2 linked regions of the Oryzias latipes genome follow. The protein of the gene in region 2 interacts with the protein of the main gene of each other region in a pairwise test. Links are inferred from orthologs where the notes say so. Each region holds a gene or a part of one and is shown on either strand. Other genes may lie near its edges. The genes, in order: slc38a7 and rnf5.

What was found.
Region 1: the proteins of rnf5 (region 2) and slc38a7 interact in binary tests that used the Homo sapiens proteins (3 or more experiments, as listed by UniProt). The two-hybrid records come from large-scale screens. The link is inferred for Oryzias latipes from reciprocal best matches to the Homo sapiens genes RNF5 and SLC38A7.

Annotation. Positions count from the first base shown.
Region 1 is NC_019861.2:21,809,772-21,822,245, forward strand, and holds the start of slc38a7 (putative sodium-coupled neutral amino acid transporter 7), read left to right. Parts: upstream 1-6,869; 5' UTR 6,870-6,984; intron 6,985-7,709; 5' UTR 7,710-7,721; coding exon 7,722-7,973; intron 7,974-8,278; coding exon 8,279-8,332; intron 8,333-8,846; coding exon 8,847-8,991; intron 8,992-9,367; coding exon 9,368-9,512; intron 9,513-9,630; coding exon 9,631-9,729; intron 9,730-9,852; coding exon 9,853-9,910; intron 9,911-10,012; coding exon 10,013-10,127; intron 10,128-10,441; coding exon 10,442-10,589; intron 10,590-11,635; coding exon 11,636-11,835; intron 11,836-11,914; coding exon 11,915-11,966; intron 11,967-12,474. Other genes in the region: got2 (aspartate aminotransferase, mitochondrial), read left to right, coding at 1,690-1,846, 2,342-2,470, 2,559-2,618, 2,728-2,889, 3,701-3,805, 3,901-4,051, 4,362-4,527, 4,655-4,805 and 1 more. UniProt on the Homo sapiens protein: Symporter that selectively cotransports sodium ions and amino acids, such as L-glutamine and L-asparagine from the lysosome into the cytoplasm and may participates in mTORC1 activation. The transport activity requires an acidic lysosomal lumen.
Region 2 is NC_019869.2:5,388,590-5,401,111, reverse strand, and holds rnf5 (E3 ubiquitin-protein ligase RNF5), read right to left. Parts: upstream 7,325-12,522; 5' UTR 7,170-7,324; coding exon 6,988-7,169; intron 3,976-6,987; coding exon 3,957-3,975; intron 3,300-3,956; coding exon 3,187-3,299; intron 3,117-3,186; coding exon 3,059-3,116; intron 2,815-3,058; coding exon 2,703-2,814; intron 1,846-2,702; coding exon 1,736-1,845; 3' UTR 335-1,735; downstream 1-334. Other genes in the region: rRNA-processing protein UTP23 homolog, read left to right, coding at 8,533-8,720, 8,818-8,992, 10,134-10,538. UniProt on the Homo sapiens protein: Membrane-bound E3 ubiquitin-protein ligase that mediates ubiquitination of target proteins. May function together with E2 ubiquitin-conjugating enzymes UBE2D1/UBCH5A and UBE2D2/UBC4.

The sequences.
Region 1 (12,474 bases), on a different chromosome or scaffold from region 2:
GCTGCTCCTGTTTTCAGTATGAAAATGGTTCATATCTGGCACGTCTAATTTATTCCGACCGGAAACATTAGATGTCTGTATTAAAACGTCAAGTTTACTCTTCTGTATTCTTTAAGTTCTTGTTCTTACGTGTTTTTGAGTTTAGATGTTTAGAGTTGTTGAGCTACAAGATTGTAGCTCAACTTCAGATCCAACAACTAAACTTAATATGTTATGGTATAACATGAGAAGAGACATGTTCCACGTTATATATGTTTGTTCACACTGAGCTACCAGTTAACTGTAAAGTTAAGCCGTTCAAAGGTTCTGTGTGCAGACAAACTGCGTCACTCAGAAGCTGTGAGGCCCTCCAGTCATCTTTTCGGTGTGATTTTAATTGGATTAGTAAAGGTTTAAGTATTGTAGAAAACTATTTATTTGTCTGTCTTTGCAGGAATCCCCCAAATGGGCTGCATTCATTATGTTTGCTGTGAGATTTTTCTTTTCATGCAAGTGTGTTTTTGTGAGAATGGTCTTACAATTCATAAAATGAATTTTATGACCTTCACGTTTCCTTAATTTTTTCTGGATTTCTTTTTTTTTTTTTTTTACATTTATTGTAAAAACAAATATCTTTGCATCAAACTTACCTGCAGCTACAAATTATGTTGTAGTTTGATTAAATGCAAGTCATGTAAAGTAGCAGATTGCAGCGTCTTGCCCTTTGCAAAAGGCCTGCCCTAAATTTAGCTGCAAAGTTTGGTGGTTAACAAAGTAGTGGAAACCTGAGACAATGACATGTTGGGCAAGAGCACAGCTGAGTGTAAAACAGCCTTTATTTGCACAAACGTTTGTAATTCTGACCCGTTTTACTTTACCCAGCCTCTGTGGGCCTAATTTTTTTTAGTTTGTGTAAACTGGATCTTGGCAGTCACCAGTATTTAGAATCTCAGAGAGAAACTGCTCACCCAAGTTGCAGTGAAAAGGCTTGATGTGACCTTAGCAGCACCATCATGTGCATATTTATCTGCAGATTCCCAGGTGGGGGTCAACAGGTCTGACTTCATGACATTCTAACATTTGATGTATTAAGATTTGACGTGCATTTTCTTTTGTCAAGTTATTAACTAATAAAACAAAACAAAAAAAACTACAATAAAACATCAAATGGACGAAATGCTTCCTCAAAGATGGACCTGCTTCCACCTTCCTCTCCGACCGCAGCTCTTCAACCTTTTAGAACTCCAAAGATCATCAGCAGCACTTTAGTTGGAACTTTAGAATCACCTCAGAACTACCTTGCTCTCAAAGGCCAGTGGTCCTAATCTAATCTTCCCAGCAATCGCCGCAGCAACACAGTTTCCTGCTGATTGTCTTCATGGCAGGAGTAAAGGAGTCGATGTGGAGGGGATTTTAACAAGGTTGTTCTTGTTAAGCTCAGGTTTGCGGCTGATCTTGTTTTTGGACTTTGAGACTCCAGATTGGATTATGTTTGCTGGTCCCACTCAGCAGTGTCATTGGGTCACATGAAGTGAGGGGGCTAGATTTGAAAATGAAATCTACAGCTGCTAACAGAAGCAGGGTGGTGGTAGTTTAACCACACAAAGGTTCAGGAATGTTTTCATGCACGAGTAAGACTGCTGCCTATCACAATGTACGTGCGGATGATTTCAGTGTTCTCATACCATCATCATTTTTTTTAAATTGTAGCTCATGGTGGGGTGGAGTGCAGATGGGGCCCCCTGATCCCATTCTCGGGGTGACAGAAGCCTTCAAGAGGGACACCAACCCGAAGAAGATGAACCTTGGAGTAGGAGCCTACAGGGATGACCAGGGAAAGCCCTTTGTGCTCAGCTGTGTTCGCAAGGTACAACAGTCAATGCAACCAACGACTTTGCCCCTTTGACATGTTTTGTCTCTTTTACCGCCCGTGGCACTTTTTCCACCCCTGCTTTACTGTGGATTGCTAAACAGTCTGTAATCGAGTGGGGAGGTTTACAGTTTCATTGGGTTTTAACTGTAGAGAGGTTGGAGCTCAGGCAAGCTTCTGATTGGTAGTTGTGAGCCAATAGAAAGGCCTCCTGGCCTGGGCAGGTCAAGTCTTCTGGTTCACGACATTGAACTCATTGTTGTTCCTGATAAAGTGTTCTGTACGTAACCATAACAGCTTTGTGGGATAAATTGAGAAACACTTAAAGTTCTTATAGTTATTTTTACAATGTGTAGATGTCAGCAGAAATGATCTAAATAAAGAGGTCAGTTTTGGCATTTCAAGAGTTTTAAATAGTAAAATTAAATGTCAAGTGTTTTTTTTTTTTTCCTTTTTTAAGACCAACTGTAAGGGATTTCATTTTCTTCGAAGGCCGAATCTTTGATTGCAGCCAAACAGCTGGATAAGGAGTACCTTGCCATTGGGGGTCTGGGTGAATTCACCAAAGCCTGTGCCCAGCTGGCTCTTGGAGCAGACAGTGAGGTTTTAAAAAGCGGCAGGGTAAGTTGGAGAAGTCTGTTGATCCAACTTGAGAATAAATCAAATATTTTGTATCCTCATAAGTGCTTCCATATGCGTGCCCCAACAGAGCATCACTGTTCAAACCATCTCAGGCACAGGATCTTTGCGCATAGGAGGCAACTTTTTGGTGAGTTTCAACAGCACCACCACCCCAGACAAAATAAACTGACGTACATTTACTGCTTTCAGGGTTTGCTGCTTTTGTCATCATTTTTTTTTATCCTTCTTATTTTCAGGCTAGATTCCACGCAGGTCCACATGACGTGTATCTGCCAAAGCCATCCTGGGGAAACCATACACCCATCTTCAGAGATGCTGGCATGCAACTCAAAGCATACCGCTACTATGACCCTTCCACCTGTGGCTTTGACTTCAACGGAGCTCTTGGGGATATTTCTGTAAGGCAACTGATTGGGTCCAGATAGATTGCATTAGAGATCATTATCATCGTAATGGTTTTTAAAAAAATATATCTATCTATATCTATATAGATATATAAAGCCCCTTTTAACCTCCCCCCTCCTTATGGTCTTGTGATCAGTCTGACAACTTGGTTCTAGATTTGTTTTGAACAGTTTAGGGGCAGGATGTAAGATATCAACAGAAATCAAAGATTTTACTGCAGTATTACAGTTTTTGACAAGATGCAAAGAAACGTCTTGAATACCTCTTCAAAAAATGCACTGGATTCAGATTCTCATGAAAATGAAGATTGGGTTTAAGAATTAAGTCCCCTAGGAAAAATTACTATGCCTTTTTTTTCCCCTCTTTAGCACGACATTAGTCAGAATCATTTTGATTCTAGTTTTCATCACGGTGTTGCCTCTACTTTAACACAATCTGCCATTGTGTGTACAGCGTTGCCTCATAATATTCTTTAATATTAGACTTATTTTTCTATGAAGGTTTGAACTTTAAGAGTTTAAACAACGAAAAAAAAGTGTAAAAATGTTCATGTTTTTCTGAGAAGTGTATACTGTGTAGTGAGGTTTTTTATTTTACAGCTTTAAAACATCTCTAATTCAACTTTGCAGATGTTACATATTGCCGGTTATTTTTTTGAACGTAACCGCCACAATAAACGAGGGATCAGTGTTTAACAAGTTCTTATAAAAACATTTTAAGATAAAATGTTCAGTAACAAGTTTAATCACGAGTCTCTAGTATTTTACTGTTTAGGTTGACAAACTTTAACCTTTTATGTGATAGAAAATCCCAGAGAAGAGTGTGATTCTGTTGCACGCATGCGCCCATAACCCCACCGGCGTGGACCCCAGGCCTGAGCAGTGGAAGGAGATTGCGCAAGTTGTGAAGGTACCTAATTGTGGTATATTGTGTTAAAGGTGGTTTTTTTTTGTGTCAACAAGTTGTTTTCACTGTATGTCCCTGTTGTGATGTGACTCTTGCAGAAGAGAAACCTGCTGCCATTCTTCGACATGGCCTACCAGGGCTTTGCAAGTGGCGACATTGATCGCGACGCCTGGGCTGTGCGGTACTTCATCGAACAGGGACACAACATCGTCCTGTCACAGTCCTTTGCCAAGAACATGGGACTCTATGGTCAGTCCACTAAGATTAAGACCTTTAAGACCATTGAGATTTGAAGGATCACTATGGGGTTGTAGCACTAAAGAAAAATGCTATCATGTTTTGCTGCCATCTAGTGGGCAAATATGCATATGACTTTTAAAAAAAAAAATCATTGAAAAAAAATCTACATGTCAATCCAAAACTAGTTAGTAGCACCATTGTGGATCCTTATGCAGCAGCTACTCTTGTAGCTGAAGTTGTGCTGTTAATTTTTTAATCTTTGCAAAGTGTTTGACTCTCATTGAGTAATCTGGCTCAATGTTCTGACGTGCACCCACAGGTGAGCGCGTGGGAGGCTTCACTGTAGTCTGCAGCGACGCAGAAGAAGCAAAGAGGGTGGAGTCCCAAATCAAGATTCTCATCAGACCCATTTACTCCAACCCACCAGTGAATGGGGCCAGAATCGCTTCCACGATTTTGAACACTCCAGAACTTTACTCAGTCTGGTACAAACATAAAATGCAGTCACTTCTTCTTCTTCTTCTTCAAAAAAGTTGATCCCTCATAAACTTCAAATGAATAATTTTCCAGCTTTTTCTTTTAACAGCATTCTTTGTTTTGTGTGGACTGTAGGCTGAAGGAGGTGGATTCTATGGCCAAACGCATCATTACAATGAGGGAGCAGCTGGTGGAAGGTTTGAAAAAACACGGATCTTCTCACAATTGGCAGCACGTCATCGACCAGATTGGGATGTTCTGCTTCACAGGCCTAAAGCCTGAGCAGGTACTTTAACATTTTGGGTCAAATTACAGTACACTTATAGGTTTCCTTGTCTCACCAAGATGAAATAGTAAAACAATGTTGCCGGTTTTTGTAGAAAACCTAAAGGAAGTGGGTGTTTTAAAAATTTGACTTGATGCATGTTGTTCTGTGCTTGCAGGTTGAGAGGCTGACTAAGGAGTTTTCTGTGTACATGACCAAGGACGGTAGAATTTCCATGGCAGGCGTGACCTCTGGGAATGTGGGATACCTCGCAGAGGCAATCCACGCAGTCACCAAGTAGACTGTTTTCTGTTTGGAGAGCGACAGAATCAAAGCTGCAGAGTTGAAGAGGAGCTTTTATGCATCACTTCTCCAGCCCACCTTTAGAGAAGAGCTCATTGTTTAGTAATACATTCTCGTATGGATTTCATGATTTCATCGTGGAACGGTTGCTGTTTTTCCAATTACCTGTTCAGAACTTTCCTGTCAACATTCTCCCCTGCTTAGCAATGACATATTTCTTTCTGGAGTAGATGTCACATTTATTTATTAATTGGGATTAATTGTCGTACCATTTGGTTTTTCTGATTGTTACCTTCTCTGCTGTGAGCCCTGTCATCATGTAACACCCAGAAATAAAATCACTGGGCAAAGGCTTGCTGGCTTTATGTGTCAGGAAAAATGCCTGTTACTCTGTCAAATCCTGTAGGATTCTTTTTTCTTCTTTTTTTGTTGAAATGGTGGTGGTGCAGCACTTTATGTTTTATGGCACTATTTGATCTTGTCACTGGGCTTGGCTGTCTAAACAGGCATTCATCAGGTTATCAGTTTGCTTTAATTTCATCAGCCCTTCGGTAGTTTCTGGCTCCATGTAAGGAAAACCTCGCATGTTCCTTTTTTTCTGTCTATCTGTTTAAGCTCCCCATTCAAACAGGAAAGAGTTAAGTGTAAAGAATAGATTCAAATTCTGTGTGGATATATTTTTTTTTTTTATCAAAGTTGGCATATATTGCCACCTTTTCACATGTTGACAGTGAAAGCTCAAACCTGTAATATTGATGATTGGAGTTCCCTTTTTGGGGGGTTAACAGTGGGATTTAAACAAAATATTAACCTATTGCTGAAGTTCACCTCCATTGTCTGCTTATAAATGGTCATTTGTCATAAACCCGAAAAAGAACAATAAACTGTAATGGAATGAGTATTTAAGTGTGTGCTGATTATTTTAATTATGTGTTTTTGCAGCTTTAAAACCTGTTTTTGTTAGGTATGAAGCGATTTGTTTTAATGATTCGATTCACATATTTTGTTGTTGCCGATCTGATTCACAGTCAATTTTGGATCATTTTGAACAATCGAATTCACTGACCTGAAATCGATCCAGGACATCTTTAGCCAAAATATCAGTGTGACTCAGGTACTGAACATTACAGGTGATGTTTTCCAGATTCCTTGTATTTTAAGTGTAAATATGTACCAACAAACAAGAATTCATGGTAAATCCATTCACATTTTAGATTCATAAAGTTCAGCCCACTGTTTTTTTCTACCTAGAAATAATCCAAATGAAACATAAAAAACCTTCTACCACATCATCACGTCTTTACAAAATTCTGTGTTTCCACACATTGGACTGTAATGATGGCCTGATCGATTTTTTGCTTGATCGTTTTTACGTTATAGTAACATGAACCCATGTCTCAATTCAAATGGTACTGTCCAATACCGATCATTGATCTAATTTAGAAACAATTTTAAGGGTTTAGGTCGATCCAGTTGGATTCGAATAACAACTTGTCTCAGACAGATTGATCTGGTTGGATCGTAGGTATAGAAATTGATTAATCCATTTAGCGCTTATTTTTTACACCCCTAGTTTTCATTATTTTTAACTTTGTGATAGTTTATCTGACACTTATCTTAATATTGATACGATAAAACAAATTTTTTTGTTTAATATTTATAAAATAAAAACGTGAAAAACATAAATTAAATGACTAGGGAAATGTGTAATAAACTACATAAAGTCCGTAAAGTTGAAATGGTTTGACACATTTAGCTACAACTCCCACAATTCAACAGAAGGTGAATTTCCGGTCACATGACTGTCACGTGCTCCTCCGCTTCTACGAGCGGCCAAAACACTACAGTCTGTGACCATTGCTAAACATAAGGAAATCACGACGGGACCAAACCGAATGTAAGTGTTAAAGACTGATTCAAACGTGACGCTAAAAACAGTTGTTTGTGTTGGTTTTGTCATTTGCTTGCAGCTTTTGTTAATTAGCTTTTACGAAACAAAGACAAAGAACAAAGCTGCCTTGGCCATTGATTCCCAGTGTAATTAAATTGTTAGCTCATTTTTTAAAACAGAAACCGGGATTTCATTCACGGTTATTGGTGGGGCTTTCTTTTTTTAAATCTTTTTTTTTTTCCTTTAGTAATTTTGCTTTCAGATTCGACGTTAGTACATGTCATACAAGGGCAATGTCCTCCTAATGAAGGAAGAAAAAATAGTCATTTTAATTTGAACATAAATAAATGGACTTTCAAAACAAAAGCATGAATTCAATGAGTTAAGGTTTCCTCCTGTTTAGAAGTACAGTACATAAGTGATTGTAGCGCATATTTTGTGTTTGTAGACTGCACAAGCCAGCCTGCTTTTGATTAAGACTTTTATTTCAGTAGGTTTGCATAAGAATCTATTGGTTTGTACTGAAAATGTTTAAATAAAATGTGTTTAGGAGTACTTTTGGGTATTAATAACAGAACACGTTGTCTTATTTATAAAAAAAAAAGTCAGAAAAATTAAAGGTTAACACTGGTGTGCTGCTGTTATGGTTTTTGTTGCTCATTGATAAATAATACATCTTTTTCATGATGAATGTTGACAGTAACAAATTCTGTCTATGTTTGACTCTGAAGGCTAACTTTCTGATGGCGATTAACACTGATGTGGAAGACTGGGGTGGTACCGGCAGCAATGATGCTGGAGAAAGGGCATGGCTCCTGCAGAGCCCCAGTGTGGACTCTGTCCAGCACCCGGAGATGGCTGAGAGGAGCAGGGGCGTTTCAACCCTGGGAGCCGTGTTCATTGTTGTGAATGCAGCTCTGGGCGCAGGTCTACTCAATTTTCCAGCTGCTTTCAACATGGCGGGAGGAGTCACTGCAGGAGTGGTGCTTCAGATGGTAAGGAGAATGGTGTACTATCCTTGATAAGTGTTTTCTCCCCCGGTCTCCCTCACAATCACATGTTGTGCTAAAAGCTAAACAAACAGCTTCAGATTTGTTGATTTTGGATCTAATCAGATGTACTTGAGTGGATTTTCTAGCCTCTGGAGAAGACAAACGGAGACAAACAAAAAATCTAAATGCCTTATAGCTTTGGATCGTAAAGCAATTTAAAAGGCCTCTGTTCTTTATATTCAAAGGTGACAAATTGCATTCATTTTCTGCATTATGTTAACCCTTTGTTTCCTGCTTCTGCTTTACAGTTTATGCTGATCTTCATCATCAGTGGGCTTGTCATCCTGGGCTACTGCTCCCTCGTATGTGCTTTATTTTACATTCATGTTGTGTTTTGTTCCACCTGACATCGTGTGCAGCTTTTGGTCTTATTGTTTTTCTCCAATTCTTGGTCATTTTAAGAAAACGTATTGAAAACAGAATGCTTTTGCAAATTGTGAGGTTCTTCTTGAAGCTTCAGCGAAAAGCTGGACTTTCACTTCCTTAATAGCTCAGACATAAGCTCATGTGCTAAATATGCGTAGTGATAAAGTGTCAAATCAGCAGCATTTATCTATTTTCCTAAATGTGTACATTTGAAAAAGTTATAGTGTGTTAATAGATTTTTAGAAAAGTTCTTAGAATAGCTTCTTTCAAGGACTAATCTTATGGTGGAGCAGGTCTGTTACATTGAGCTTAGTCTGTTTGGCTGGTTAGAAACTATAAAAAAAGGAAATGGATATAAAGTCAAATTTATGTGTGAATACCTGGGGAGAAACACTTTACCAAAAGTGCTCATGCATGTTTTATATTTGTATTTATCTGTTTTTTTTCCAGGTCAGTAATGAAGCCACCTACCAAGAGGTTGTCCGAGCCACGTGTGGAAAAGTCACCGGAGTCTTATGTGAGGTAGCCATCGCTATCTACACTTTTGGTACCTGCATCGCTTTCTTCATTGTCATCGGGGACCAGCTGGATCGCTGTAAGTGCATTCAGGAGTGGGCAATCCTCCACTCACCTCCAAGTAATCTTAAATTGTGAAGCACTGTGCTGTTTTCAACAGTGGTGGTTAGGTTTGGTTTTTCTCTATTTAGTTTAGTGGTGGTATAAAGTAAAGCTAGTGCAGGGATTGACGAGGGCAAAGAGTATCTTGGTTTAATCCAGTCAGCTTTTTTGCTCGGTGAGTGCGTCTCTCATGTGACAAACCTTCACATATCCTTGAGCTGAGGAGCTGACTCAGTGGAAACGCTTCATATCTGCTGTTTGTTCAGATGTTTACATTTTATTTCCTGCACAGTTATTTTCACATCTACAATTTCTACGTGAAAACTTTCTGTAATCATTGATTGTTGCTGCAGTGATTGCTGCTGTAGAGGATAAAATAGATGGAAAAGTCAGTAACCACTGGTATACTGACCGCAAGTTTACCACCGTCATTACTGCGATCCTGGTCATTCTTCCTCTCTCCATCCCCAAAGAGATCGGCTTTCAGAAGTATGCAAGGTAATCCTAACCTTTTACAGTTATTTGAAGCTTCTCCTTACATGGAGAATTAAATCTTTTTAGAGAAGGTTGGGTTTGGTCATTCTGCATGAGGATCATCTCGTGTTTTCTTCTGTAGTACCTTGAGTGTAATTGGAACCTGGTACGTCACAATTGTGGTCATTTTGAGGTACATCTGGCCAGACAAAAAGGTGACTCCAGCTTATATTCCCACCAGGTAAATCCATTTTTATGACACTTCTTTTTAAAAAACGTTTTTACAGATAATTTGGCTGAAGTCATCTTCATATTTTCATCCCGGCTTCTTTGGAATAAATTGCTCTTTTTGTTTTTGTGACAGTTCTGCTTCCTGGACGGCAGTTTTTAATGCAATGCCCACAATATGCTTCGGTTTCCAGGTATTTCCTCATTTGTTGTGATTGACGTTCTAACATGATGTGTCCGGGAGGTTTTTATTTTTTAGTTTTTGCTGAAGTGTTCTCCTCTCATCCCCCCTGCAGTGTCACGTCAGCTGTGTGCCAGTGTTCAACAGCATGAGAAAGAAGGAGATTAAACCCTGGGGATTTGTCGTGACCCTCAGCATGATCATTTGCCTTTTTGTTTACACAGGAACAGGTATGTCATCGTGTATTAGCAATGCACACTCAATAGGATGCGGCATATCTTTTGAGTAGAGCTGCATCCCAGCCAGTCACTCAAAAATAAACAAGCTGATAAAGAAAGTCTCCTCGGTGCTGCAGACGGCATTCAATCATCCAAAGCACATTCATCTAAAGAAAATTGAAAAGGGTGCAAAACATGATGGACAGCAGCGTACATCCTTAGAAAACAATTTTTATATAGAAAAAAGCAAGTTTGAAAAAAAAAAAGATGCTTATGTTGTAATCTTGTTAAAAATACTTTGTTGAATGAAGACTTTTGTGTGGCAGGCGTTTGTGGCTACTTGACCTTTGGCTCCAGCGTGAATCAGGATGTGCTGATGTCGTACCCTTCAGATGACATCGCCGTGGCTTTTGCAAGAGCATTCATCGTCATCTGTGTGATCACCTCCTACCCCATTTTACACTTCTGTGGCAGGTAAAAAAAACAACAACTTCTCTTTCCTTCTAGTTTCTGTCAAAATAGAACATTTTAATAAAGAGAAATATTGGACACCACCCTCTGAGATAAACCTTCATACATAACAACTGATAGTTTGTATGTAAAAACCACAAGCTTTTTCAAGCTGCATTTTTTCATCTGCTCCTGATTCACAACGATTTGAAGAAAGAAATACTCAGAAATGCAATTTTAATATTATTTGCCTTTATCATAAAAAAGTTACAAAAACATAAAAAAACTCCATTTTCATTGGAGTGGGTCTTTAATTTATAGTTTTTTTAACTACCCCATTATACTCTCATTATTTTTCTACAAATAGCTCAAAGATAAATGATCTTTTTTCAATTACAACTTTACTTTTGCTTTGAGACAATAGCACTGGACGTTTGTGAAAACATCAAGGGTATCAACAGCAGTCTGCTATGATTAGAAAGAGGTTGAAAGACTCTCTGATGGTTCAGACAACAAAGATTCATTTGATCATTTTAATACAAAAAAATAAAAGTGGTTCCTTTTTGTGTTAAGAAGGTCATATAAATGCAGTCTTGATCAACAAAAAAAAAACTGAAGCTGAAACAAAGCAGAGCTGTCAATCAATCAGTTGATGAATCATTTAATCAGTTTTACTCTGCCATTGTCTACTTTGTAAGTCGATGCAAAATTTCCACTAAGCTGTGTGAATATTTAAAGGAGTCCTTTCTTTCACTTGTTCATTAATTTAGTTTAGTCTGTCTAGTTGGTTCAGTTTAGAATTTCCTTAATGAATTTTATGTATTCACAATCCTTTTGATTTTATGTGTACTTTACAATTACCGGTATGAAGCCCATTGAAACGACTGTTGCTGTGATTTTGGGCTATATACAGAAAATTGAATTGAATTAATGTTATTGATTATCCTTTTCAGCTGATACACTGAGTATGGCTAACATAATTTTTATTCAATAAACTTCTCATCTTTCATAATGCCAAATTTGTGGAGCATTTCCTCACTGCAGTCTGCTGTAATGGGGTGTCCCTGCAGGGCAGTCGTAGAAGGACTTTGGCTGCGTTTTCAAGGTGAACAGGTGGAGGTATGCGTGCGCCGCGAGCAGAGGAGGAGGATCCTGCAGACACTGGTGTGGTTTGTTGTCACCCTGGTCCTCGCCCTCTTCATCCCAGACATCGGCCGTGTCATCTCACTTATAGGAGGGCTGGCGGCCTGTTTCATCTTTGTGTTTCCAGGTGCGTCCTGTGCTCTCTTCTAAATACACTGTCCCTATCCATGACACACTGCAATGTTTGTCTGCTCTTTTACTAACAGGTTTGTGTTTGATGCAAGCAAAAATGTCAGAGACAGAGAGCCGATCTTTGAGGTGAGATGCTCTATTTTTTTTTCTGCTTTTGTGGAATATTTCTTTAAGTGTGATTGAAGCTTGCATTAGATGAACTGCATGTAAAGCTCTGTTACTGTGTCTTGAGACATTAAGTGAGATTTCCACAGTGTCTGTAGGCTTTTATAAAGTCCAAATTAGACGTATTTGGCTGAAAAAGGCCAAAGCTTAGATTACAAGTGCCTTTGACACATTAAGTCAACTTTTTATATTGGTACTACTTGGAAAAACGGCATACTCAAACCATGTTTTGTAATCTTTTGCTACAATTTTGTTTTTTTATAAACATTGGATGTTTTTATTCCCATGTAAACTGGGCTAATAAATCATGAGTTGCCTGCATTTCTGTTTACAGTTTTTCTCAGTCACTTTAGTACAATTCTCAGATCAGTATTGAACTTTGCAAATACGTGTGTGCATTTCTCCAAACAATTTGTACAAACAGCAAAACACTATGGATTTCTTGCAAAAGCCTGTAACTTGCTCAAAA
Region 2 (12,522 bases):
AAAAATGTTTTAAGATCCACTAATGAAACCAAAACACGTGTTGGAGATGTTCAAAGGGAGTTTTGACATTATTATGGGATGGGTACTGGGCCTACGGCAATGCTGCCTTTTTGTGGCAATGCGTGAACAAGTTTACATTTTATGGACAACTAAAAAGTAAAATAGTTGCTATGGAGATAAAACAAACAAAAGTCACTATTTAAAAAAAAGGCTTTTTTTAAAATTCCGAATGGCAGGTTTAAAAGGGGGACGTCGGGCAGCTCCTGCTTGCTGTTTCATCAAATTTCAATTGTGTTTTGTGATCAAACGTTTGGAAAAAAAAAGACAAAATGACTTTGGTTAATTCAAGTTTTAATCTGAGACCATTGGGTTTTGTACAACAGTCCTTAAGCCAACACGGTAATTTAGCGTCACGTTAAACCACTTTCCTATCAAACGCAGCTAAACCCATCAGAAACATCAGAGTCCAAGCAGATTGTTTGTGTCCGTCCCGCAGCGGGACATGAAATGAAAAGTGTTTTCAGTCCAACTTCCAGGTGAAAGATCTCCAGATCTGCACATTTCAGGGACGATGAGTCTGGACGGTGGAGCTGCAGGGTCCCCTGGAGGCATTCATGGAGAACAATGGAAGATCTGACTAAAACATCTGGTTTTCAAAGCACGACTAGAGTCACAAACATCTAAGGACTTCATGGGCTGGTTTGGTCTGTAGATGGCAGTCAGCACTCAGAGCAATGGCATCTAGAGAGGAAACCAGCAAATAGTCCATTCCTGGCTACGCATGTGACCCACATCCCCTTTGAATGAGCAGGAATTCACCTTTAGAGTGAAAGGCAGTCAAACTTTTAATCTTTCATCAGAATTTACAGGTTAGACATTTAAGTACCCGAGTAACACGTATGACGAGAGTATTCCAGGAAGTAGACAGTTTGAACACTTCACAGTCGCACATCTTCTCCAGGGCTCTCCCATCCAGTCACAGCATGTACAATATTTATATATACAAATATATACTGTATGCACACATACGCACTCACAAAAATCCACAAGTGTTTCGCAATCCTGTAGCTTTGGAAAAGGGGGCGGTGCCGGTCGAGCGAGCCGTCACTCAAATCTCGGAAATATCTATAGTGGTTTCTGAGGATTCTCTCTGCCGGTCGTGGCGTTCTGGCCAAGTCGGTTATGCAATTCGTGGGAGGCGAAGCTCTGACTTTTAGTTAGTCTGAAGAGGAAGGTCGGCTCCGCCTTCAGGGCGGCTCCGCCTTCAGGCGACCTCCACCAGGAGAAACGGGTTAAGACAAATGTTTGGAGGAGGCTCCCATGGAGACTGAACAGGAACTTGGCTGCACTCCTAACCCCCCACCCCCCATGGCCAATCCACATCTGCCCACAGAGCCCCCCCCTCCTCTAAATAAAGAGGAGTTGGTAATCTGATGAATGAAGTGACCTCATCCATCTGATCATTCGGATTATGTAATACTGAATCTGAACGCCAAACCCAAACATTTCCACTTCCTAAAATGTTTTGTGAGCCCAGACGACCGCCACGACCGATTTCTGGGGTTCCACGTCGCCAGGCATAAAAAAAACGACGAGCAGGCGGGGGCTTGTGCTGCGGCGACGTGACTACGGGAGGAGGAACCTGTCCAGGTGTGTGTGTGTGTGTTCATGTGTGTTGCTGCACTCCTCCCTCCCCGTTTCCGATTTCGGTAAAACCACCTCCTCTCCAGGTCAGTCACACGCTCAGCAGCCAGAAGAAGAAGAAGATGGCCACGAACAGGAAGAGCGAGTCCTGCCAGCTGTTGTTGCCGTTCCCGTTACCTTGGTGATCACCTGCATACTGGTCTAAAGGTAAACAAGAAAGAAAAGACTTTCAAATTGAAGTAGTGAGTTTAAAAAAAATCTAAATTTGGATTTATTTTAGGCAAGAAAAATTCCACATTTAATGTAATGAATCCCCAAACTTTTTCAGACATTTCTGCAGACCGTCCTGTACGAGGCCGACATGGGCGTCTGATTTGAGTTTTTTTGTTTCTCTGAACTTTTGAGACAGAAGTTTATCTTCATTCTCTGTAAAATATTGATTTGTTCACTTGATTTCCTGTAGGAACCATTAAAATGTGAAATAAAGTTTAAGCCGTGACCATAAAAGCAGAAGACGCCAACTTCAGCCTCTTCTGACTTTTAAGATGAGACGGAAAAATACAAAAAACAATCGTGAAAACTGGATTTTTAAAAAAATATAATCTTAACGAGAATCCACTGTTTGAAGAACTTTATTAGCAGCATCCTTATAACATTAGACAGCTGGTTGACGATTATTCTGCATTATTATTATGGTCTGTGGGACCAACTGTCACAATAAATCCATATTTGGAGTAAAGACTCCTTCCTGGTTGTTGTCTGTTGAAAGCAGATTTATTTTATTTTGAAGGGGAAGGCTCTTCAGTTTCCTCTCTGGATCTTTCCACATAACTTTCTTTTTCGTTAACTTTGCTAGCTTGAAGGTTTTAATTTAGCAGTCGGTGCGGCCGCTTTAACAAAGTAGCTGATGCATTTTCGACATGAGACAGAGAGACTGGTGGAGAGAAACTGGTCGTTTTTCAAAATAAAACTTCCTTCAGAATCAGATTCGAAATAAAACTGGATAAAAGGTTGGTTGTGGTTTTTTTTTCCTCTTTGATTAGGGGACCGCTGTGTACCTGCTCTGTGGAAGGGGTCGTTGGCGTTGAAGACTGTCGTGAAAAAGCCGAAGGGGAAAGCGCCGATGCCAAACGACATGTGGAAACCGGTATCCCCGAAGCCCTGGAACATCTGAGCGCAAAGACAAACCCGACAGTCAAAAGCTACAACAGCTGGAGGAACATCTGACCTGAAATTATGAAGGAAAGTCATGTGAAGGAACATTTAGAGGCTGCTTTAGGTTTTGCGTCACACGTTTGTGGGGATTTTGTGGTTAAAAGGGTATTTTCGTGTTGCATAAAAGGTAAAAATCTGAGAGGGGAGTACAAACGGAAAAAGTCTTTTCAGAGGAAGGCGTGGGAAAGCGCAGACTCACCCCGCCTCTGCTCTCCGGCTCCGTCCTCTGCCCCTGAGGCCGGGGTGGGGTTTTCAACCTGCAACACAAACAGCCCGTCACAGAGAGGCCACGCCCCCCTCCAATGGGACTGAACACAGGCGGCGAACCTGGGGTCCTCCTGGCTGGAGCTTCCCCGTCCGTACAGCGGGATGACCTTCTCTCTGCTGATGCCCGCCTTGCACACCGGACACTGCTGCCTGCTGGGCTGCGTCTCCAACCACTGAGAAGGACAAGACGGATCTGACGCCGCTTCCACCAACGAGACAAAATGTTTGTTCCTGCAGGAACGGACTGAAGACCAACGGCTGCGCTCATGTCGCATCAGCAAACCGAGACCCGTTAAGGTCATTAGTGTCACACGGTGCAGCTTTAACGCCGACGTCACGTCAGGAGCGCCGCTTAAGCCCATTACCTCCACTTTCTCTGTGGAGACGCCGAACTGTTTACAACAAACACCTTCAGCCTAAATACAAACATCGGCACAAAACTCTACTGCCATTAGAACGCAATCTGGACTCGGTGGTTCACATGGTAACACTGATCTACAAACGCTTTAAATATCTGGAAGCCTTTTTTATTTTAAGTTGAAATAAAATGTCCTGCCGTTTACGTTGGCCCACAAAAGATGCAGAAAAACCTTCGGCCTTTTATCATTAAAGACAAAAAATGAAACCTTTTCACTGAAATCGATTAAAATGTCATTAAACATGACCAAGTACATCAGACCCAAAAGAAGAAGCTGCCTTGAGCCTAAGTTTTTCTGTAGAAATGTGTCTGAATCTTTCAAAAAAACTCCAAAAATATAAGGATCCAGTTTTATTTCTCTTCAAAGATCGAGTCAGAAGCTGTTTGGGAAAAGAACAGAGGATGGACTCACCTGATGTAGACAGGGCCAGCTGCAAACAGGAGAAAAGACAACAAATTATTCCCTTCTAAAAGCAATTTTGCTGCGATTCAGAGATTTGAAAGGAGGCTATTAGTTTAGACAGACATTTCAAACAATAAATCCGTCAGAAATGATTCGATCTTAACTCAAAACATTTGAAACAATTTTAAAAATGGAATCAGATCCCTGTAATCTGCATGACTTCCAAGCCTGCTCCAATGAGAAGCTGTGGACTGCTCCATGCAGCCCCGGCGGCCCTCAGGCGTTTTCTGGGAGCCGCCCGGCTCCAGGAGAAGCCTCGTGACTTTGACAGGAAACATGAAGCTTTTTCCAAAATGCAATGGTTACGATCCTTTCACATTAAAAAGTCTCATTTCAGGAACTCGTTTGAGTCTTTTTGCTCCCCAGAACTGGCCTTGATTCCAAGAATTTAGTGTGTGATGAGAAGAAAACTGAAATGAACCTCCATTTCTAACAGATTTTTGCTTTTTTTTTAAGGCAGAGATATCATTAAACCACCGTAAATCTACACATTTTAGAAATGCTTTGAGATTTAGTCATGAAGGAACTTGGAGCATGCAAACCAACAAGAAGGGCGGGACTTTCAGAACCACAGCAGCACTCCGGCGCAGTAATCTGCACTGCTTGGGTTTAAAAAACGGGGATCGGCGTCCCCGCAGTCAATTTAGGATCAAGGATCAACACAGAGCAAATCCTGAGTTTCAATACCAACTTTAACCTGCAACAAGTGATAAAAACCTGATTTATTTGAACTGAGAAGCCGCAGGACTTTGTGCCTTCAAAATAAAAGCTGCTTATCTCATCATTTTGTGTTTTTCAGATTACCTTTGCAATGAAGTCAGACGCATTTTTTTTGGCTCCAAACACCAGTTTATGAAATCATCTCAGAGATGGCTTGAAAAACTAATCTAAGCAGAATATTACTTTACAATAAAATACACCACATTTCAGTGAGAGTTTGTGGAAAATCCGACACTGCATAGCTAAAAGTCAAAGATGATGATGAATCCTATTCCACAAGCAGCTTGATGAGATGTTGCAGCAGGTGAGCTGATGTCATCAACTGACCTCCTTGCTTCAAAGTTTCATCATGTTACGTACAGATTTGGGGGGGGGGGGGGGGGGGGGGTAACATAGCAACGACGTTACATCAGCGCACGCCGCCGTGGGAGCTGCAAACACAGACACGCACCAGCTGGTCCACCAGAACTTGATCCGGTACTGGACCGGGATTTAACCCCCAGAGAGCTCCGGAGCGGTTTTTCCTCTGGGGGTTTTAAGTTAATTAGACTTTATTTGTTCTTCTTTTTGTTTATATTAAGTAGCAGCAATCAACGGCTGGTTAAGCTACAACAGAAATCCTTCCTCTGTCTGAGAAAAAAAACGGCGTGTTTGTACCGATTCATTCAACTGGACAGATTTTCTCTAAAACACACCAATACTTGTTTTTATATTTACAAACTTCTAAAAAAAGAGTGACACTATATTAAAAGACATATAATGGATACAATAAATGCAAATATATGTGTGGATTTATTTTTTTAAATGTCTCAAAGTTTCCTGAATGTCTAACATTTTCTCTGTTTTACCAACTTTTTCTATTTCTGTTCAGCAGCTTAAAGACAAAACTGGCTTCATCGCCTCCTTCTGACAATCATAGCCATATCAAATATACATTTTCCAGCTTTTCAAACAGAGTACAGGAAGCGCAGAAAGAGAAATGAGAAGCGGTTTTAATAACGATCGGCTGTGACATCACAAAAGCCAGCAAAGAAAATGAAAGGAAATATAACCAACAGTAATCAGAGTCGCTCTACAACCTGATCTATTGATGAATAGTTCCCTTTTAATTATGATGGTGCTGTTATGCCACTTCCCATCATGCATCTGTCTACACGCTGTCCTGCTGGCTTACAGCCCCTCACACAACCCCAACTTAATCTGTGAGCTTATGGCCCGCCCAGTTTATTTTCTGTCACAAATACGATCTTTTTCAAACTGAATTTTTTAAAATTCTGCTCCTGATTCACAATGATTTGAATAACAAAATACTCAGAAAATGTTTAATTTTCTCTATAATTGTCCTCTTTCATCGGAAAAATGCCACAAGAACATGTTAAACATTTTTAATAAATCACTTTCATGATTTGTTTTTATTCTATTGCAAACCCCCCCCAAATGAGCAAGAACTGTTGAAGGAAAATGTACATTTGCATTTTTTTACAGCTTCTTCAATACATTCCAAAGATTATATTTTCCTGCACTTAGATTTTAGTCCTTCTTGATCAATTCTTTTCTGGATTTTGCACAATAAACAATCTCTGATGTGTTAACCGCCTTAAACCACCAAAGTCCAAGCCTGTGCTTGTTTCCACACTGAACCCTTCGCTGCTTTCGATTACAGCTGATAGGAACCTGCTGACCCTGATGTCACATCAGCGACTCCCAGATTAGTCACACAAAAACCACTGAGTTTGTGTGAACCGACAACATGAAGGTTGAAGGTTGCGCAAGTTTGGATCACAAGGGGGAGAAAATGCTAGAAAGTCTTTGGCCGCAGGTTCCTTTCAGATGTGGTGAGCTGCCAGTTCAGATTAAAGTGGATTTAAACAGAATAGCTGATTAAATCACAGCAACAAGCTGAAGCAAGTTTGGCTCATCACAGACTGATGTTAAAGTTAGAAATGGTCACTAAGCATTTACAATAAGAGTTAATATGTCACAGATTAATACGTCACCTTTGACTGACAGCTGATAAAAATGCTGTAAAAAATGTTTAGGTGTAATGCAGTAAAACAGTTATGACCTGCCTCTGTAAAATATTAGTTTGTACTTTATTCTTATTTTTAATATTATTATTATTGTGGTTTTCAGCGAGGGGCGTGACTCCGCCGTCAACAGCTGACGTTAAAGAAGGCCGCGCGCGCGCGGGCAAATAACATCAAAAGATCATGGAAAAACACCCCCACACACTCTAATAACTACTGTTTTGGTTTCGTACCAGAACAGGTGTCCGCACATACTGATGACAGCGTCCCTGGCTGTGTCCAAACAAATATTGCATTCGAAGGTGGCCCGGTCCCGCTCGCTTTCCCCGCTGCCGCCGCCTGGCCCGTCGCGGTCGTTGCTGCTTTCCCCCGCGGGGAAACCTCCTCTGGAGTAGCGGGGATCCGCCGCCGCCATGACGGTTATCGGAACAGCGAAGGGAAGTAATCCGAACTGAGTCAACCCAAGCCACTCGTGCCCGACTGGTACTAGCGTTAGCCGAGTCCGACACTGATGGTACAGTCTTCACTTTGGACTGAGTTGTGGCTGCTGCTGCTGTCTGAGAAACCACTTCCGTTTCCGGTCAAAATAATGCTGTAAGAGTCGGGGGGCGGGGCTAAAAATGTAAATACAAACGCCTCATGGAGACTGTACAATGATTATCGTGGTTATTTACTTTTTAAGTGTATTTTCAATGTTTATCATCTATCTGCGGGTTTCAATTGCACTATGGTATCAAAATAAATTACTTTTTACCGGATCAATAAAGTTCTATTCTCTTCTATTCTATGAAGCAAGGCCAATGTTTAAGGTTACATCCGGTAGTGTTTTATTTTAAATAACCCTTATTCATAAATTCAAGAAAGGCAAAACAAAACAAATATTGTGATGTGTCAAACTTATACACACATAAACACGCGCGCACACACACACACACACACACACACACACACACTCATACACACACAAATACCTGACAACAACAGTAATAACTAATGGCACACTGAGAAGATTTTAAATAAACAGCAAAGAGTCTTGTTTTTTTTTCTATATTAAGTTTAATTAAACCTTGTTAACCTCTTGACTGATAATGTTCACTGTCAGTGGTGCAAGTTGCATAGTATTTAAAGTGTTTTCTTTTACTTATTGTCTTGTGTCTTGTTTTAATAAAATGTTTAAAAAACAAACGGAAATGACAACAATGATAATTATCATAAAATGATGTGTTCTTTTGAATCAATTTAATACAAACAATAGGGCAGTCAGTAATCAGGATGTAAATAACAAACAAAGACAAACAATTGTTTCTAAAAAATTTCAAAAAACTAACATTTCAAAATTCTGTTATTCAAGTTAAATTATAACTATATATCCCAACCGTTTTTTTCCTTCTTCAATACATTAAATGTATAACTGCATTTACTGTATTAAATTAACCGGGATAGGCATTTTTTTAAACTGACAGAACCCGTTAAATCTGAAAACCAAACATTAAAAAGATTTAAAGATTAAAAGAAAGAAAAACAGTGTCTTTTATTTAAAACATTATTTTTTTAATTGACTCATTTATGAACATCCCCGTTTCAAAACCGGAACTTTAAGCAGACATCTTTGTTTCGTTCCGGAGCTATTAGGCCTACGCACAAAACCGTTTGAGTACAGCTCCACGCTGATTTAGGATCTTATTTTGACCCTTTTTGACTGCAGAAAGAAGACATTAATTTAAGTTTAAAGCTTTGTTTTTGCTTTCGCTAATTTCTTTTTTTATTCAAGGCGGAACATGAAGATCAAACGACAGAAACAAGCCAAGAAAACGATTAGCTTCTACAAATACAACTTCAGCTTCAGGGAACCTTTTCAGATCCTCATTGACGGGACTTTTTGTCAGGCGGCGTTGAAGAATAAAATTCAGATTAAAGAGCAAATGCCGAAATATCTAATGGGTGAGGTGCAGCTGTGCACCACAAAGTACGTACATAACCGAATGGTATTCTCTGTTGTTGTGTTCAGAGTCTTTGGTTGTTGTTGTTTTTTTTAAATCCGTTTTATTCGTTTTCACACACAGTTGCGCTCTGAAAGAACTCGATACTCTCGGAAAACAGCTTTATGGAGCCAAAATTATTCTGCAGAGGTTCCAGCTGAGGAAATGTGCTCACTTCAAGGACCCGGTTCCTGCGTCAGAGTGCCTGCTGTCCATGCTGGAGGACACAAACCCGCACCATTACTTTGTTGCCACGCAGGTACATTTAAATGGACGAAGAGCTCACTTATTAATAAGCAGAACCGCATAGATTTTCAGTTTAGTGAAGAAAATCTGAACACAAGGTGCTGCATATAACTGTCAGGATCAGAAAACTTTCTGCTCTTTAACATTTAACTCCCTAGATTGCAAAAACAATACACATTCATTGAAGGGATGACTGGAAACACGGCAGTAAGGTTCATTTTGAAACATAAAAGGGTATTATTGACTTTCAGCAACAAAAAACCTAAATGTCACTTACTGTGTTTATTGTAGTATGATTTTTAGGGTTTAAAAAGAAAAGTCTCTTATGGCCTCAGATTTGGAAAACAACTAGAGGAGGAAAACAAACTGTTGCTAAACCAAACCATTTATGGAAATTTACTTTTCCCAAATAAAAATTAAAGTATGGCCCATGTGACAAACCCTTTTTAAAAATCTTTGAACATTTTTCTTGTTGGTTTATCTCAGGAGTGGGCAATTATTTTAACTTGTGGGCCACATTGGGTTATAAAATTTGGACCGAAGGGCCGGACCAGGAGCAGATGTGTGGAGTGAGAAAGAAATAACATGGAATGTAGATGAAAACATTTGGATTGAAAAAAATTTTTTTAAACGTAATATTCTAGAGTTTTTAGGTTAAAACTTTCGTTCCCATTTTAGATCTCTTTTTTTATTGTGAAGCCGTTTGGTACCTTCAAGGAGTAGTAAAGTGCTGTATGAATAAAGTTTCATTCATTCATGATCTGTATAACAATATAAATAACATTATTTATGAAATAAAGCAATGACCAAATAACACCCTATGATTTTCAAAGACAAAAATTCAGGAAAAATATACTGATATATATTAAAAAAAACACACACACACACACAAAAAAACAATAAATAGTCGATCCTCTCCCGTCATAATCCTAATAAAGACTTTCAGGGCTGCAACTCATCACGTATGTTAGTCATCAAATTTTAGCACCTGAAATGAAAGTTTAGCTTCCTGTGTGAATCAGAATACTTTCAAAATAAAAGCCATTTAAAATATAATCGTAATAGATCCATAAATGTACGTTTCAGTCTTAAAGCAATCTCATAATCAGAGGAAGTAGCTGGTAAAATTAGATTTCGGTGTGATATTTTTACAGGATCATACGGTGACTGCAGGCCTGAAGAAGATTCCAGGTGTTCCTCTGCTTTACATCATCCTCAACACCATTGTGCTGGACAAGCCCAGCCAGGCGTCCCTCAGTCATGTCCAGGCCGTCCAGATGGGAGAGCTGGTGAGCCCTGCTCAGCAGAAGAGCATCCAGAGCATGAAACAGGAGCAGGGCATCAGCAGCAAGGACGGAGAGAGCCGGGGCAGGAAGAGGAAGAGGAAACAGAGCAACCCCAACCCTCTGAGCTGCCTCAAGAAGAAGAAGAAGAAAGGAGCACCCACACCCCCTCTGAAAAAAACAGAACCGGGGGAGAAGAGAAAAAGAAGCAGACACAAGAAGCAGAGGACAGCGGGGGACCGAACAGCCACTCCCACCGGGACAAATACTGAATGAAGCAGAAAAATGAGCCGTTTTTTCTAGGAAAAAAAATCCCAGAAGATTCTTGGACAATTCAGAATAAAAGATTTTACTACAAGAGTATTTTCCAAAATTACTCCCAAAATTTTTAAACGACCTTTGGAAAAGTGGGTTGTTGTTTTTTTTTCTTTTCCTTTGCTCGGATACAAAATTAACAGGCAAGCTCACAGACACATATTTCAAAGCTGCCGACAGTTCATTAGAAAATCAATCCTCTCAACTCCGGAGGCACAAAAGGATGTGGACTCACTGAATTACCCCAAAAAAATGAAATATGAACATCATACTCTGTCATACTGATGGTTATCAAACAAAATCCATTCTTCATTCATCTTCTTCCGTTTTGTCCCTTTCGGGGTCATGGGGCTGCTGGAGCCTATCCCATCCACTTATGGGCGAAGGCAGGGGGCACCCTGGACAGGTCGCCAGTGTGTCGCAGGGTAGAGCGTCCACAATCACACACCTAGGGACAATTTAGATGAACCTATAAAGCATGTTTTTGGACAGTGGCAGGAAGCTGGAGAAAACCCACACATACATGGGGAGATCATGCAAACTCCACACAGAAAGGCTTGATGTTCTGGTTCATGTCCCCCAGCCGGGACTTGAACCGGGGGCCTTTTTGCTGTGAGGCAAGAGCGCTAACCACTGCAGCCACAGAATCCATTGTGTCTTTTGTATGATGAGCTAATGTCCACTCATGACTAACGCTTTAAAATAAAATAAAAACATCAAATTTTCTGATTGGTAGAAATCTATTTTTTAAACACAAAAGTGCAGTTTCCCAAAACATTTTGGTGCATCTTTGTTTTTAATCTACTGGATGATAGGTGAACCACATTTAGGACTGAAGCTGAAATCATTGATTACATTGAATTGAGAGAATTGACTAAGCAACTTCAGCTGCTTTAGCTTTTCAGATTATAGGATTTCTTTCACCTCGTTTACTTCCTGCTCCTATAATCTCAACATATTCTTCGTCATTTTCACACAACTGAAACAAAAAAGTTCAAACGCCTGATTCATGCTGTGGAACCTTAAAACAAAAAGCAGATAAATGCATCAGACGACACAGAAACTCTGCAAACAAAACTCGATTTCTACTAATTCCTTATAAAGTTGATTCAAAATAAGTTCCATAAATTATATACTTGAGGTGACAAACAGCTCAGGCTCGATATCAGACACTGCGACAGCCAGTTGGGCAGACTATGGAAGAACAAAACCAGGTTCCAGGCACTCCGGGTCCCTGTCTTCTCTCCTAGAGAGGAAATCTGCTTCAATGTTCTTAGTTCCTGGTCTACAAGGAGAAGAGAAAGCAATTTAAAAAAGCAGTGACCACCTGGCTTGATGGGAATTAGGTCTCTTGGCTGAACTTAAATATTCCAAATTCTTGTGGTCAGTGAACACACGAAACGGATGTTCAGCCCAGACCAGAGAAAATGAGTCTGGGATGAAGTGGAGAAGAGAAGCCACCTGACTGTAGCTGCTGAGGAATTGGCGGTAAAAATTGACGGAGCTCAAAAACCGTTACAGCTGCTTGCATGATTCAGGAGGCGGCCAATCCACGTGCGTCCCCGCCTGAGCTGGCATCTGGATCTAAACCAGCTCCAATTTTTGTTGCACTGGTGGTGTTAGGTTGGGGTTGTGAGGGGGAGCTAGCAGGTGTGCAAACAGATGAATGATGGGAAATGGGGCGGGCTCACTGTGCACCAACACTACCACGCACAACTCACAGGTGAATTTCTAATAAACTCCTGCTGCTCCACCACAGAAATGATGTCCTAGACAACAAAATGTTTTTGGATTTTGGCTAAAAAACGTCATCGTAGTAATTAAAAGACCACTGGGAGTGCTTTGAAAATAGATCAAATGATGATCGGAGTGGGACTCCAGACCTTCATTTTCCAGCTTTAGACTCATCTCCCTAATGCTCTCTTCACCCCCTGAACATTTATAA